Linked DNA regions of Zea mays. The protein of the gene in region 1 interacts with the protein of each later gene in a pairwise test. Links are inferred from orthologs where the notes say so. Each region holds a gene or a part of one and is shown in the gene's direction. Other genes may lie near its edges.

The links. The genes of interacting proteins can lie anywhere in the genome.
Region 2: the proteins of two-component response regulator-like PRR1 (region 1) and Transcription factor PHYTOCHROME INTERACTING FACTOR-LIKE 15 interact in a two-hybrid assay, tested with the Arabidopsis thaliana proteins (3 studies listed by BioGRID). The link is inferred for Zea mays from reciprocal best matches to the Arabidopsis thaliana genes TOC1 and PIF3.
Region 3: the proteins of two-component response regulator-like PRR1 (region 1) and Adagio-like protein 3-like interact in a two-hybrid assay, tested with the Arabidopsis thaliana proteins (2 studies listed by BioGRID). The link is inferred for Zea mays from reciprocal best matches to the Arabidopsis thaliana genes TOC1 and FKF1.

What each region holds. Positions count from the first base shown.
Region 1 is NC_050099.1:145,826,572-145,831,800, forward strand, and holds two-component response regulator-like PRR1, read left to right. Parts: upstream 1-1,677; 5' UTR 1,678-1,806; coding exon of another isoform or gene 1,807-1,954; intron 1,955-2,176; coding exon of another isoform or gene 2,177-2,286; coding exon 2,287-2,338; intron 2,339-2,429; coding exon 2,430-2,563; intron 2,564-2,687; coding exon 2,688-2,855; intron 2,856-3,027; coding exon 3,028-3,109; intron 3,110-3,217; coding exon 3,218-4,071; 3' UTR 4,072-4,318; downstream 4,319-5,229. UniProt on the Arabidopsis thaliana protein: Controls photoperiodic flowering response. Component of the circadian clock. Expression of several members of the ARR-like family is controlled by circadian rhythm.
Region 2 is NC_050103.1:1,249,664-1,254,611, forward strand, and holds Transcription factor PHYTOCHROME INTERACTING FACTOR-LIKE 15, read left to right. Parts: upstream 1-1,413; 5' UTR 1,414-1,563; coding exon 1,564-1,721; intron 1,722-1,805; coding exon 1,806-2,892; intron 2,893-2,964; coding exon 2,965-3,057; intron 3,058-3,170; coding exon 3,171-3,236; intron 3,237-3,314; coding exon 3,315-3,380; intron 3,381-3,486; coding exon 3,487-3,975; intron 3,976-4,061; coding exon 4,062-4,175; 3' UTR 4,176-4,189; intron 4,190-4,300; 3' UTR 4,301-4,599; downstream 4,600-4,948.
Region 3 is NC_050099.1:216,202,972-216,207,892, reverse strand, and holds Adagio-like protein 3-like, read left to right. Parts: upstream 1-1,386; 5' UTR 1,387-1,452; coding exon 1,453-1,709; intron 1,710-2,452; coding exon 2,453-4,052; 3' UTR 4,053-4,396; downstream 4,397-4,921. UniProt on the Arabidopsis thaliana protein: Component of an E3 ubiquitin ligase complex that plays a central role in blue light-dependent circadian cycles.

The sequences.
Region 1 (5,229 bases):
TCCACGACAGGCAGCGATGGTCCCGGCGACAAACGTCTCTAGCAGGGTTGGGAACGATGATGAACTGCCGCTGCAGTGGGGGGAGGAGGCGATGGTGCCAAGTCAACCTCCATGGGTGTGGTCGCCGACGACTCCGCGTCTCCCATTGGCACCGACGGTGATGGGAGCGCGATGGGGAGGCCGCATTCAACCACCGGCAGCGGCACTATCGCTGTCTATCCGTGGAGCACGAAAAAGTCCACGTTGTGCACTTGAACGCGGCGTGCAATGATGGCGTTCACCGGTTGGATCGCTGCATCTTGGCCAGCGGCGTACGCCTCCAACAGTGCATCATCGACGACATGGAGAACTTCACGCATTCGACGGATGCGAACGAAAACGGTTTGCTCCATGCCTCTCCTGTCGTTTTGGAGGCTGGTGCCTCCGTTCTTGTCAAAACAGCGAGCGTTCTTCTTCTTCTCTCTCTATTCTCGTGAGCACGTGCTAATAATGTGTTGTAATTAGTGAAAACGAGGTTAGTGAGAAAGTGACAACAGTTAGTTCTTTATTACAAAGGTGTTTTGTTTATATACATATGAAGGGGTGTATCACAAAGGGGTGTATCCCTTGGAAAAAATATGTCGCATTCCTTGGATCTTTGATTGGTCACATATACTCCCTCCATTCCAGAAAGGTTGTCGTTTGACTTTTTTTAGACCAAATTTTTACCGGTTTGGCTTATTCAAAATATTTGTGAAAATATAGAAAGTTTTAGTTTATAATTAAAGTAAACGGTATGATACTAAATCATAATGAAAAATAATAATTATAAATTTTTTTGAATAAAACGAGTCAATCAATCTTTATCTCAGAAAAGTCAAATGATATTCTTTCTGGAACAGAGTATAATATTTTGTAACAACGAGAGGAGATTAGCGCGAGGTCGCGCTCCTGACCCCACCTAGCCGGTCTGTGTCTGTCCTTCCACGTAATGACGTAAATAGTAACACTGTCCAGTCCAGGAGCAACCCAAAAGCGTGGGCGTGGCTCCACCTCGTCCTTTTGCCAAAAATCGCAGTACAGGTCTAAAGAAATCTAAAATCGCACAATCGATGGCCGACGAGGATTATAACATTTCAGCGACTAGTTCGCGGACACGTAGCCAAAAGCGAAGCATTTGACGGAGGCGAGTTTTAGATATTTTCACCCGCTCCGTCAGTCAGCTGCTGCTTGCACGAGACGTCGGTACGGGCGGCCGAGATCTCCTGGCCGCCTCGCCCAAGCGCGCTCAGCCGTTCCTTGCTTTTATTTTACTCCCCGGCCGCGGCGCCGTGCGGCTGGCTCTGCATTCTCCCCTCCGGCCCTCCCCTCGTCTTCTCTTCTCTTCTCCCCGCGGAGCGAGCGAGAGAAGCAAGGCCGCTCCGTGCCCCCAACCCCGCTCACTGAGCAAAGCGGAAAAAGCGAGGAAAATATCCTGCTCCAGCGAAGCACCGCAGGCCGCAGCCGCAGCCGCAGCAGAGAAGAGCAGACGCCATCGCCCGCAGCCGCCGCCCCCGGAGAATGGTGCGGGCCGGACCGCGACGGGCGAAGGAGGGCGCCGCGGCCCCCGGCGGCCCCCGCCGCCGCTGATAGTAGTCTACCTGCTGCTAACCAGCCATCTGAAGGCACAGTGGTCGCACGCGAGGGGCCCGGATTGATTGGGTGATAGGCGGCGGGCGCAGATCCACCGACCCCCTCGTCGTGCGCCTGTGTCTCTGGTTCCGGTCCGTGTCCCCTTGGCCGCTTGGTGGAGGCCGGAGGCGTGGTCGGTGCGTTTGGAGTTTGGGTATGGCGGGTGGCGGCGAGGGGGATCGCGTGGGTGTCGGGGGAGCCCAGCAGTTCGTGGACCGGAGCAAGGTGAGGATTCTTCTCTGCGACGGCGACGCCACCAGCTCCCGGGAGGTGCTGCGGCTCCTCTGCAACTGCTCATACCATGGTTAGCCTTAGTCAACCTTTGCACCCCCACGTACTTAGTTTCTCTAACCGTTGGGATTTCCGGATTTAGGACTCTGCTTGCTTCTCACCATGGGCTTAATCATTAGTAGTACTATAGATACTACCAATACGATGGCTTGTAATGATAGGGATCTGTTGGGTGTCATGTGTGCCTTCAGCTTACTGTTGTGCTGCTGTTGTGACGGTAAACTTTCTCTTTCAGTGACCTGCGCCAAGTCTCCGCGGCAGGTGATCAATATCCTCAACTACGAGGGCGGCGAGATCGACATCATCCTGGCTGAGGTCGATCTTCCGGTCTCCAAGTGCTTCAAGATGCTCAAGTACATTGCCCGGAACAAGGACCTGCGTCACATCCCCATCATAAGTAGGCTGCATTCCTATACTCTGCCTGCCTCGTGCCTGTTACTGTGATTGTGCTTGCTGTGACCATCCTCCTGTTCGATGGAACCGTGCAGTGATGTCCAACAGAGACGAGGTGTCTGTTGTTGTCAAGTGCTTGCGGCTTGGCGCCGCCGAGTACCTGGTGAAGCCGCTGCGCACGAATGAGTTGCTGAACCTTTGGACCCATGTGTGGCGGCGGAGACGGATGGTAAAGGGCACTATGCTGACTCACCTTAACCTCTGCGTTTAGAAGCATGCTCTAGGCTGAGATGCTCGTAGGCGTTGATGTACCGCCGTGAATTATTCTTTAAATCGAGTGCTGGTGTTGGCAGCTTGGTTTGCCCGAGAAAAACTTCTTCAATGACAACTTCGAGTTGGTGCTCTCAGAACCTAGCGATGCCAATACCAATAGCACCACCCTCCTCTCAGACGAGACCGACGATAGGCCTAAAGGAAACACGAATCAAGAAACAGGCACCTCAAAGCAACTTGAATACGAGGTAATGAACCAAGCACCCATTTGGAAGATTGTTGCAGTCCAGGTTTTTTTTATGTTTCCAGTTCTGTTCTTTGACGTTGCCACAAAGATCTGCCCTTTTGGCTCTATGTTGTATGTTGATGACATGCTAACAGTATACTTGTTTAAATGCCCTTCCACTTGGCGTGTTTCAGTCTAATCCTTCGGTTGCTGAGCCCGACCAGAGAGAAAAGATGGAGGGTGTTCCAGGCTCTGCCCTAGATGCCAGTAAAAAATGTAAGATGTTTCAGCCGGACCTTTGTTCTGCCCTGGAATATCTGATCTTGTATTGTTAATCACCTTTATTTCTCTATCTGTTTTCTGATCAATTATTTTAATTGCCAGCCTCTCCAAGAAGAGCGTTTTCACGCCCTATAAAAACTAACCTGAGGGTTGCCGAGTCGTCTGCATTTCTAGCATATGTCAAGCCAAGCACCCCAGCCACCAGCTCATTTGACAGCGAATTACAAAGGGGTGGCAGCCGATTAGATTCCTTGGATAACCAGGGTAATTGCTCTAGCGCAACCGATAGAAGTGACACTGGTACTGATGTAAATATTCGGAGTAAAGAAGCTTTTGAGATGCCTGCGCAGTACCCTATGGTATGGTTTTCTTCCTCTAACATGCATATGGAGCGAAGCAGCGAAGGCCATAATGATACTTCAGGAACTCCACCTGCATACCATTTCCCATTTTATTACCCAGGGATGGTAGAGCACAACATGGCACTTTCGTCGGCGCAAGATTTTCAAGCAAACATAAACAATGCTCAAGCACATACACCGCCAGCGATGCTTCCTCAGTACAATGTTTATCCTCAGTGCCATGGTTTACCTGTGATACCATCATTTCAGTTTAATCCTTCTGGCATGAGTACGCACTCAAGTCATTTACCAACGCAAAATGTGTGGTCATCGGCATCGAGCACACCACCAGTGCCTGAGGAAACATGCAGTCGCTCTGAAAGGAGGGCTGCAGCACTTGCCAAGTTCAGGCTGAAGAGGAAAGAGCGCTGCTTTGACAAGAAGGTGAGGTATGTGAACCGGAAGAAACTCGCTGAAACGAGGCCAAGGGTGCGAGGTCAGTTTGTTAGACAGCCAACCAATACGGATGTCATCAGCATTGGAGATGATATATCTGAAGACGAAGATGACGATCCATCGTCCAGGGAGGTAGATATGGTTTCTTCTCCAGAGTAGTAGTGGAGAGGTCCTCCATGTGAAAAAATAGACTGCAGATGGTTACTGCTCATCTTGTTACAACTCAGTAGACCTAGGCAATACACCCTTTTTGCTCACACACAGTATTACATTTTTGTCCCTAAAACATGTGGCTGTTACCCTGGTTGCTTTAATGAAGAAATCATCTTTGATAAAGTGTAGCTGAAGTTTTGCTAGTTATTGTTGCACAGACCAGTCTAATCAATATGATCTTATGGCAGGATAATCTTTTGAGAAAAACAGGGCTATTATTGTACATTCCTCCTATTATTCCTTATTCCATGTGTCTTTTAGATGACCAAGGATCCATTTCTGGAGGAATGGGGAACTACGTTGATTAATACTCATATGTTTATGTTGTGTGTTAACTAGTCAATTTATAGGTATCACCCAAAAATTCAGCGGCAGCTTGGACAGATCAAACAACTTTATATCCTAAACAATGAATTAAACAAGGAAAATTGTTTAACAGCCAAGAGTTAAAAAAACAGTTAAAACGGTAAGAGAACAGACTTAAGGCTCTTTGATATCTGTGGAGTCGTTAGAACTTATGAGGTTTTTGAATGCACTAAAATTAATAGTTAGCTGCTAAATTTAGTTATAGTTATCCAAACAATCAAGCTAATGGTTCAACTATTAGCTACTTTTAGCGAATTATCTAATAGTTAGATAGTTACTCCCTCCGTTTCTTTTTATTTGTCGCTGGATAGTGCAATTTTACACTATCCAGCGACAAATAAAAAGAAACGGAGGGAGTATTTTTTAGCTAGCTAATTTCATTAGCAAATTTTTAGCCAACTAACTATTAGCTCTAATGCATTCAAACACCCCCTTAATTTGAATGCATTAGAGCTAATAGTTAGCTGCTAAAATTAGCCGCAGACATCTAAACAACCTAGATAATAGTTTAGCTATTAACTATTTTTAGAAAATCTGCTAATAGTTAGCTACTTCTATTAGTAACTTTTTAGCTGCTAACTATTAGCTCTAATGCATTTAAACGGGGCCTTAATGTCTAATATAATGTGTAATGATATGTCTACTATCCATGACCCTATTTGGCATAGCTGCTACGTGTTGAGAAATCAACTTATTTGAGAAGCTAGTAAAAAGCATCTTCTGTTTGTTGTCTACTTT
Region 2 (4,948 bases), on another chromosome or scaffold:
GACGAAGGACTTCAACAATTAACATTTTTCTATGTTGCCTTGTTCTTAACTCATAGCATTTGAGAACAAGTCTCCAACAGGCGCTGCACAGGGTTTCGCTCCGCCACCTCCATTGTTCCCTGCAGTTGACCCTGCTATGTTCCATACTTCTGTGAGTACCAAAATTGTAGTTACATGTTGGTAATGCATCTGGTATAACACATGCAATCTCTTCTCTGTGCAGGGCCAATCTGGGGCGGCATCCAACAACCCTCATGAAGGGTACAACCTAACGCAGCACCAGTCCAACCGCCCACCTCCATGAGAGTTATGTATTTAGTGTTTCGAACACAAAACTTATGTTGAATACTTGTCAGAGCGTGTAAACTTGTGTTGATACTTCTGAACTTCTGTTAATACTGTTTGTGTTGAGAACCTCTCAACTTATGTTGAATACTTATGTCAGAATTTGTGTTAATACTGTTTGTGTTGGCTATATATGTCTGTGATGTATATATGTGATATCTATGAAATATCTTTTGTTTGTTTGGATGGAATAGGGAAAACAAATAAAAAAGGTGTGTACTGGTCTTGACGAGTGTAACACTCGGCAAAGCACCTCTTTGCCGAGTGTCAGAACCATAACACTCGGCAAAGAACCAAGACCTGGGCACCGGTATAGGTTCTTTGCCAAGTGTAATGGCTCTGGCACTCGGCAAAGAAGCACGCTTTGCCGAGTGCCACACCAAGCACTCGGCAAAGTACCTGACATGGGGAACCCCTCCGGCGGATTCTTTGCCGAGTGTTGTCAGGCAGTCACTCGGCAAAGACGCCGTCTTCGTCACCCGGCGCCGTAACGTCTGCTTTTCTTTGCCGAGTGTTCTCTGGCACTCGGCAAATCACTTTGTCGAGTGCCCGAGAAAATTTTTTCGGCAAAGAAGACTTTGCCGATGCACTGTGTGCCGAGCCCTCTTTGCCGAGTGCGACACTCGGTAAAACCTTTGACGAGTGTTTTTAAGGCTTTGCCGAGTGTTTCAGACACTCGGCAAAGCCGTCGGTTCTGATAGTAATTGTTAATTCGCATGCCCATAGACGGCTCGGTTTCTGTACCAGCAAGTACATGCACACTTGGGGGGTTGGGGTGCAGTTGCTTTGCGCAGGCTGTCAAGGTGCGCAGCAGGGAAGGAAGAAAGAAGCCATCCAATCATTTAGATCTCGCTGTGCAAGTACTAGTACTACGGAGCAGTAGTAGTAACAAGCTTGTGGTTGTGGGATCAGCCAACTGCGCAACGAAAAATAATTGCCACTGTATGCCCAACTCAACTCCTAGCTAGGAGAGGAAGAAGAGTACAAGGAAGAGACTGTGGCAAGCACAGCACAGTGGATACACACCTAGCTTGGCCGGTACAGAGCACCGTGCTTGCTTGTCCATTTCCGTCACAGCTAGCGCTTGCCCAGGTCCCCCACCTTATCAACAACAACTGTGCCCCTCCTGCCCCCGCTCGCCGCGAGAGCTCCCGTCCCGACGACCTTCCCTCCTGTAGCACTCTACAGTCTACACCAAGCAGCAGCGTCTCCTGTTGCATGTTGCACTGCACCTATCTACGACGTCCGTTCCCAGTGCTTTGCTCACCGACACCGTATCTTATGAGCAAGGAGCCCTGCTGCTCCCATCACCTTCATCAAGCCAAGCGTGTGTCCTCTGTCCTCTCCCAGCTGCGAGCTCCGACCCCCGGCACCATGTGAGCGGTTCCTTCTCATTCAAGCTCAACCTTGTCTCCGGGTTCTTGCTTGCTTGCTTGCTTGCTAACACCGCTGCCTAGCAGGTCCGACAGCAGCGACTTCGCCGAGCTGCTATGGGAGAACGGCCAGGCGGTGGTGCACGCGCGGACGAGGAAACACCCGCCCCAGCAGGCCGCCTTCCCGCCCTTCACCTTCACCTGCAGCAGCAGAGCTCAACAAAGGCAGCCGGTGCCGCCGCTGCTCAAGACGGGAGGAGGTCTCTTTGCCGACTTCTCCTCGGCCACCGCCGGCCTAGACGCCCCCCGTGACAACGCCGACCTCGACGACACCGTGCCGTGGATCCACTACCCCATCCCCATCGTCGACGAAGCCAGTCCCGCCGCGCCTGCCCTGGCAGATAGCTTCATCCCAGATTTCTTCTCGGAGCTGCATGCGGCGGCGGCGACGACGAGCCTCGGCCCTCTGCCACCACCACCACCACCACCACCAGCAGTCCAGCACACCGGCGACGACAACGACAACCGGAGCACCCCGGTTCCCAATCCCACCACCGGCAGAGGACCAGAGCCCTCAAAGGAAACCCACCGCGCACCAGTACCAGGTCCAGCCGGCAGGCCTGAGCCACAACCACAAGCTGAGCTCGCGCCCGCCAGGAAGCCTCGGCAGGAGAGCGGCGGCGGGGAGGCTTTGATGAACTTCTCCATCTTCTCTAGGCCGGCAGCCATGGCGCGTGCCAGCCTGCGGCAGAGGCCGCCACAGACAGGCACCGACAAGGCGTCCAATGCCACCACGAGCACCCGCGTGGAGTCGACGGTGCTACAGTCGGCCAGTGCCAGTGGGCCGAGAACTGCAGCTGCCCCCGCCGTGTTCGTGGACCAGAGGACGGCGTGGCCGTCGCAGCAGCCCAAGGAGGTGCGGTTTCCATGCGCAGCAGCAGCGCCACCGCCGACGCCGACGGCTGGTAACCTGCAGCAAGAAAGACCTAGCAACAACAACATGACTCCTCCGCAGAAAGAAGTAGAGACCAGGAAGGCGTCAGAGGCTGCGGGCGCCACCGCCACCTCATCGGTCTGCTCCGGCAATGGTGCTGGGACAGGAAAGGACGACGAGTCCTGGCGCCAACAGAAGAGGAAGACCCTGCAGGCCGAGTGTTCCGCGAGTCAAGATGATGTAAGCAGAGGATGTGAAGATATCGCACACCTTGGACACTGGAGTATCTAACACTGGTTCTCTTCTCTTCAGGATCCTGACGATGAGTCCGGTGGGATGAGAAGATCGTGCAGCAGAGGTGCGAAGCGCAGCCGCACCGCGGAGGTGCACAACCTGTCCGAAAGGGTAAGTCCCATGCCAATATGCCATGCGATCGATCTCGAGCTGGAGCCTGGAGCTGTGCACTTGAACTCACCGCACTGTAATGCATGCAATGCAATGCAACAACAAACCTGCAGAGGAGAAGGGACAGGATCAATGAAAAAATGCGTGCCCTGCAAGAGCTCATCCCCAACTGCAACAAGGTATGAAATGTAGATGGTAGATGGAACTGGTAGCAATAAACAGATGTATCGTCTCATCATCTCTCTCATTGCGCGCAGATTGACAAGGCCTCCATGCTGGACGAAGCGATCGAGTACCTCAAAACCCTCCAGCTTCAAGTGCAGGTACACTGACTAAAACTCGAAATGTAGCATGGTTCTTCTTCCATATAGATCGATGCACTGACAAGATATATGGTGGTTCTCTTTGATGCACTGACACATCACACAGATGATGTCCATGGGAAGTGGGCTGTGCATTCCTCCCATGCTGCTGCCACCAGCCATGCAGCACCTGCAGATTCCTCCGGCTGCTGCTCACTTCCCTCATCTCGGCATGGGATTGGGTTACGGGATGGGTGTCCTCGATATGAACAGCGCGGCGGCGGCGGCGGCGGCGGTTCCATTTCCGCACATGCCCGGTGCTCACTTCCCTTGCCCGATGATCCCAGGCGCGCCACTACCACGGGGTCTCGGAATCGGAATGCCTGCCAGAAACACGATGCCGGTGTTCGGAGTCCCTCCTGGGCAACCAATCCAGCCACCATTCCCATCTTTGGCGGGCCTTCCTGTCAGGCCAAACCTGGCACCTCCTCACGCCTCCTCAGCCGCCATGGCTAACATGGTGCAGGAGCAACAGCAGCAGCAGCAGCATCAGAGCCTGAATAATGGAGCATCAACAGCAGCAGCAACAGCATCAGATCCTCAGACTATCGTGCAGGTAGCGTTTCACAAATAGTGTATATAAAAATAGCTGAAAAGATCTTCGCCTGGATCTCTTATATCCAAATTTCACAATGGTTCCAGGCTGAGAGACAGCATTTTAGTGTGCCCTCTTCAGCACAAACCGAGAGCGATCAGTTTTTGGATGGTGGTGGCAACAGGGCTATTTGTACAGGAAGAAATGAGGCTGAAACATGAAAAACACTCAGCAGGTGAGTCTCTGTGTGTGTGTGACCTGACTCAATGCAAAACTTGACACAAATCATTGAATTTGGCACAAAATATTCGTATCCTAATAGAGAACATGGCTCATGACTTTTCAGGTCTCGACTAACAGGCTGCAGATGTGAATATCAGCGCCAACTCATCCTGGAAAAGAGCCTAACGAGTTTCAAGATCCACGAAGCAGATCCGTCAGTTGAAAAGAGTCCAATCAATCAAGACAGGGCCATGACAGGACGTCTAGCTTTAGCGAGCTAAGATGCTCCTAAGTTTTGTGTCAAATGTAGATGGTAGATGGAACCTGGTTACAAGAAACATTTCTTGGCAGCCGGTGCTTTTTTTCTTTTTTTTTGGGATTCACTGAAGTTTTCTTGGATCAGTATGTCTTATTTCCTCAGGCATTCAGTGATCATATGCACAAAGATATTTGTGTCCATATACTGGCTCTGCTTTAACTATATCTCTTTGCAAATAATAACGAGCTAGCTAACAATTGTTCAAAGCTGCATGCTTAAGCAGATATGTAACCACATTATTCTGCAGATGTATGCATAGGGCCAAAAGAGCACGTACTAATATGAAAGTTTTGCCAATTTGCAGTAGAGATACCATAGTTAAATATCATTTGAACATCAAGAAGCAGAAATAAATTAATTCAAACAGATGATCTGTATAGTCAATATACCTTTATCCGAAGTTATGTTCTAGATTGCTTAGTTTGCCACACACACACAAAAAAAAACAATAAA
Region 3 (4,921 bases), about 70 Mb from region 1:
GTACGCTGTCAATCAACGGTCATGTCAAAAACCCCCGCGGAACCACTTCGAGCGAGGGCAGCGTCTCCGCCATCTAGCGACGTCTTCGGCACCAGGTGACTTTGTCGAACTGGTCCCTCGGAGGGCAAATGTTGGGGCGAAGGCAAAGACGTCACCCTTCGCTCGAGGCCTTCGCTGCAGTCGCTGGTCTGACAGAGACAAAACGGGCAGGGACACCCTTCGCTCGATTCGGCACCAGACGAAGGCCTGCGACGGCGTCATCCCACAGTGCGTCCTCGTCCAGCTCAGAGGCCCACGTGTGATCCGGCCCATTGTAACGGGCCCTGCGTGGCCGCCGCGTGTTACGGCCCTAATTTGTAAAGGCATCCATGTAATTACAGTCTGTAACCCTGCTTTATGAGAATATTCTGGGGATAACCTAGGTAGCTGAGGGCACATGCGTCCTTAGCACAAGGCGCTGGGCGCTCAGGTACCTATAAATACCCCCGCACAGTGCCCGTGGGAGGCCAGATTAACAGAGTTATTGTCATCTAGCGTGTAACCCTACTAACGTCACTGTTCACCCTTGTTGGCCCCCCTTGCTTGTGAGAGCGAGGTCCAACACCAATAAAAGTTTGTGTTAAATAGTTAAATTTTGTTGACTAAGCTATTGTTCAAAAGGCTATAGTAATATTTTCTTTTAAAAAAAATCTTAGTACGTGTACGTCTCTTATAATCTGGAGAGTAGAGAGCAGGTGGCTTTTACACATTCGCATTAATTTGAAGAAAACCGAAAGAGCAATGTCGTGCACGCGACAGCAGCGTCGCGGAAGAAAAGGAAATGCAATTTCTTTTCTATTGAGAGAGAAAAGGCAATTTCTTTCTTATACCGGTAATTGTAGCCAATACCCTTGTTACATTTTAATTTCCAAAAGGAATATTATTGGTCATGCTGAGGGGCGAAGCTACATACCGAATCGAGGCCAGTAATTATGTATACACACCCTTAAGACATGTTCTGTGTCAAGGAAGAAAAGTACATGCAATTTCTTTTATATAAGAAATGCCACTATTTATATTTCAATTTCCAAAAGGAATACTATGGGACGTGCTGCCAGTCTCCACCGGCTTCTTTCCTGCGAAGCGAAGGAAAACCACGACGCACCGTTGGTTGGGAGATCCAGTGCCTGGTCCACCGGACCCAGCTGACGCACTCCCTCGCCTCCGCGGGCCCACCCTGCCGCCTCCGCGGGAGATATTTTTCGCCACCCCGTCGGGGCAGATTCCGTAAATAACATGCAACCACGCCCCTTTTCTGCCGCTCTTCCCGCGCCTATAAAAATCAGGGGCAGAAATATCTCCCCTACCTGGCAGCAGAATCTGATCTCCATTTTCCTCCCGCACCCAACCCAACCACGGACGCACGCCGAGGAGGGAGAAAGCGGGTGTGGAGGGGCGGGCGGCCGGCCTCGCATGTTTGACGACGCGGGGGCCGTGGCGGTGAAGCGGATGAGGCTGTGGGAGGAGGACGAGGTGGAAGTGGAGGAGGAGGGGATGGAGGTGGACGCGGAGCCGGGATGGCCGTGGGGAACGCCGGCGGCGGGGCTCTCCAGGGCTGCGGCGATCGTCGTGGCGGACGCGGCGGAGCCCGACTTCCCCGTCATATACGTCAACGCCGCATTCGAGTCCGCCACGGGGTACCGCGCCCACGAGGTGCTCGGGCGCAACTGGTCAGTGCTATGCTATGCTATGCTCCTGGCCTCCGCTCTGTTTTCTGCTCTGTTTTTCTCTGCTTGGGGACTGACAGATTTGGGCTGCTGCGGAATGCCGCTTGCTTGACGAAGAGGGAGAGCATGTTGATGATTACCTATGATATATTTTGCTTGATATTTAGGTTGCACTTCTAAAGTTGGCCACATGCACATAGAGAAAGGAATTCTTCAAGAATAATAATACCTAGAATATATGGGTGTACAAAAAGTATTTGTTGGCCATGACTTGCAGGTGGTAGACTCAAAACCTGGTTGTGATTATGTTCTCTGAAACTGGATGTTAATGGAAGAATAGGAAATCATTGGGAATTCCAGTTTACTTCATATCATTATGTTGAATAGAAGCTAGGTGGTCATTGTATCGAGTATGAAGTCGTATTCGCATTTAGCATCAGATCTTCAGTAGTGAATGAAATTGGTAGAAATTCAAATGCTGTGCCGAAGTAGCAGCATGGTAACGGCCAGTTTAGGAACTTGTTTCCTGCTAATGTTGACATAAGGTAGCGAACATCCACATGGAAGCAGAGAGAGGTCATTTATTTTTGTCAGGCTAGTCGATCCAAATAATTCCATACTATAACGTCTTGAGTAGTTATTTTATGATTGCTTGTGCCAACCTTAAATTTGCTAACAGTGCCAAACTTGACAGAGGGCCTATCGGAGCATCTCACAAACTGTGTTCACTCAAACTTGTCTTTCAGCCGATTCCTGCAATTTCGGGATCCACGAGCCCAGAGGCGACATCCCCTTGTTGATCCCATGGTCGTTTCAGAGATCCGGCGATGCCTCAACGAGGGGATTGAATTCCATGGCGAGCTGCTAAATTTCCGGAAGGATGGCGCTCCACTTTACAACAGATTAAGTCTCATTCCAATGCACGGGGATGATGGCTACGTGACACATGTGATTGGAATCCAACTATTCTCCGAGGCAAACATCGATCTCAGCAGCGTGTCGTATCCGGTGTACAAGCAACAGACCAACAACAGGCCCAGCATTCAAGATCTGAACTCAGCTTCCCATGAGCATGCTCCGAAAGTCCAGAGTGCAGACCACTGCGGTATACTTCAGTTGTCAGACGAAGTTCTCGCACACAACATTCTGTCTCGCCTGTCACCTAGAGATGTCGCATCCATTGGATCCGTCTGTACCAGGATGCATGAGCTTACCAAGAATGATCACCTGAGGAAGATGGTCTGCCAGAACGCGTGGGGAAGGGATGCCACTGTCAAGCTTGAGATGAGCACCAAGATGGTAGGATGGGGCCGTCTTGCGAGAGAGCTAACTACTCTTGAGGCCGCCTCGTGGAGGAAGTTCACGGTTGGAGGGCGCGTCGAGCCTTCCCGATGCAACTTCAGTGCCTGTGCTGTTGGTAACCGCTTGGTCCTTTTCGGAGGGGAGGGTGTCAACATGCAGCCTATGGACGACACCTTTGTGCTTAACATGGAGGCTGCAAGGCCGGAATGGCGCCGCGTGAAGGTTTCCGCCTCCCCACCAGGCCGGTGGGGGCACACTCTGTCGTGGCTGAACGGGTCATGGCTGGTGGTATTTGGGGGCTGCGGACAGCAAGGTTTGCTCAATGATGTCTTCGTCCTTGACCTTGACGCTCAGCAGCCAACGTGGAGGGAGGTTGCAAGCGAGGGTCCTCCACTGCCACGGTCCTGGCACAGCTCATGCACCTTGGATGGTTCGAAGCTGGTCGTCTCCGGTGGCTGCACCGAGTCTGGCGTTCTCCTCAGCGACACCTTCCTGCTTGACCTCACCAAGGAGAAGCCTGCGTGGAGGGAAATTCCCACATCTTGGTCACCCCCATCCCGCCTCGGCCACACCATGTCCGTCTACGGTACGACTAAACTGCTCATGTTCGGTGGGCTGGCGAAGAGCGGCTCGCTCCGGCTGCGCTCCAGCGACGCCTACACGATGGACGTCGGCGAAGATAGTCCGCAGTGGAGGCAGCTGGCGACGACCGGATTCCCAAACGTCGGCCCACCGCCGAGGCTCGATCACGTTGCGGTGAGCCTGCCCTGTGGACGGATCATCATATTCGGTGGCTCCATCGCGGGACTCCACTCCCCGGCGCAGCTGTTCCTGGTCGATCCAGCAGAGGAGAAGCCGACGTGGAGGATCCTGAACGTTCCCGGCAAACCCCCCAAGTTCGCCTGGGGGCACAGCACCTGCGTGGTTGGCGGCACTAGGGTCCTCGTCCTCGGAGGCCACACCGGGGAGGAGTGGATACTGAACGAGCTACATGAGCTCTGCCTGGCAAGCAGGCCCGACGACGACGACGATGACCGCTACTGACTAGTTTCGTTGCACATGGTTCATCTGTTTTATATGCTATATGCTATTGTTCGTAACTACTTCCAGTATGTTGTTGGGTAATCGGTATGAGAAAAAATAGTGGAAAATTAATTAAAAAAGTTAGACTAGAAGATTTTAGTGTATTTTGTTTTCATCGGAGAAGTTTCCTTTTATCGGTCTAGATAGATTCTATGGTCTATATATTTGTATATTTTTTGTCTAAAAGATCAAAAAAAACTGAAACAACTGCATTGTAGATTCGCATGGCAAAGTCGCCAGTTCCAATGTCTTGTACTCTTATTTTTAATCATATGTAAAATATAGCGCTGCTTCAGTTTGTAGGTATGGAATTAGCCAATGCTTCAGTTTATTGTATTGATGTCTTCGGCACGTTCGACTCCGGCAGTGGTTTGTGGAAATCGCAGTGCTTTGGATATTATTTATGTGATGTTTGATTCAAAAGCCAATTGCTGACAATATTTGTAGGCAACTCCAAAGGCCCATGGTCTGTCACACCCTCCGTTTGCTTTGTATCAATGTCACTCCCTGCGCTAATGCGTTCGTTGCAAAATATATCATTAACATCTACAATACTCTCCCGTCTCAATTTATAATCCATTTGACTTTTTTATCACAAGTTTGATTGGCTCGTCTTATTAAAAAAATTCATAATTATTATTAATTTTTACTGCGATGTCGTCTATACTATATAGTATACTATAAGTATGACTTTTAATTTTCATTTTCTCACAAAAGTTTTTAAATAAGACGAGCCGATTAATCTTGACACAAAAAGTCAAATAAATTATAAATTGGTACAAAGGCTAGATTTTAAGATATACTCCATCCATCTTAAAATAATAATCGCT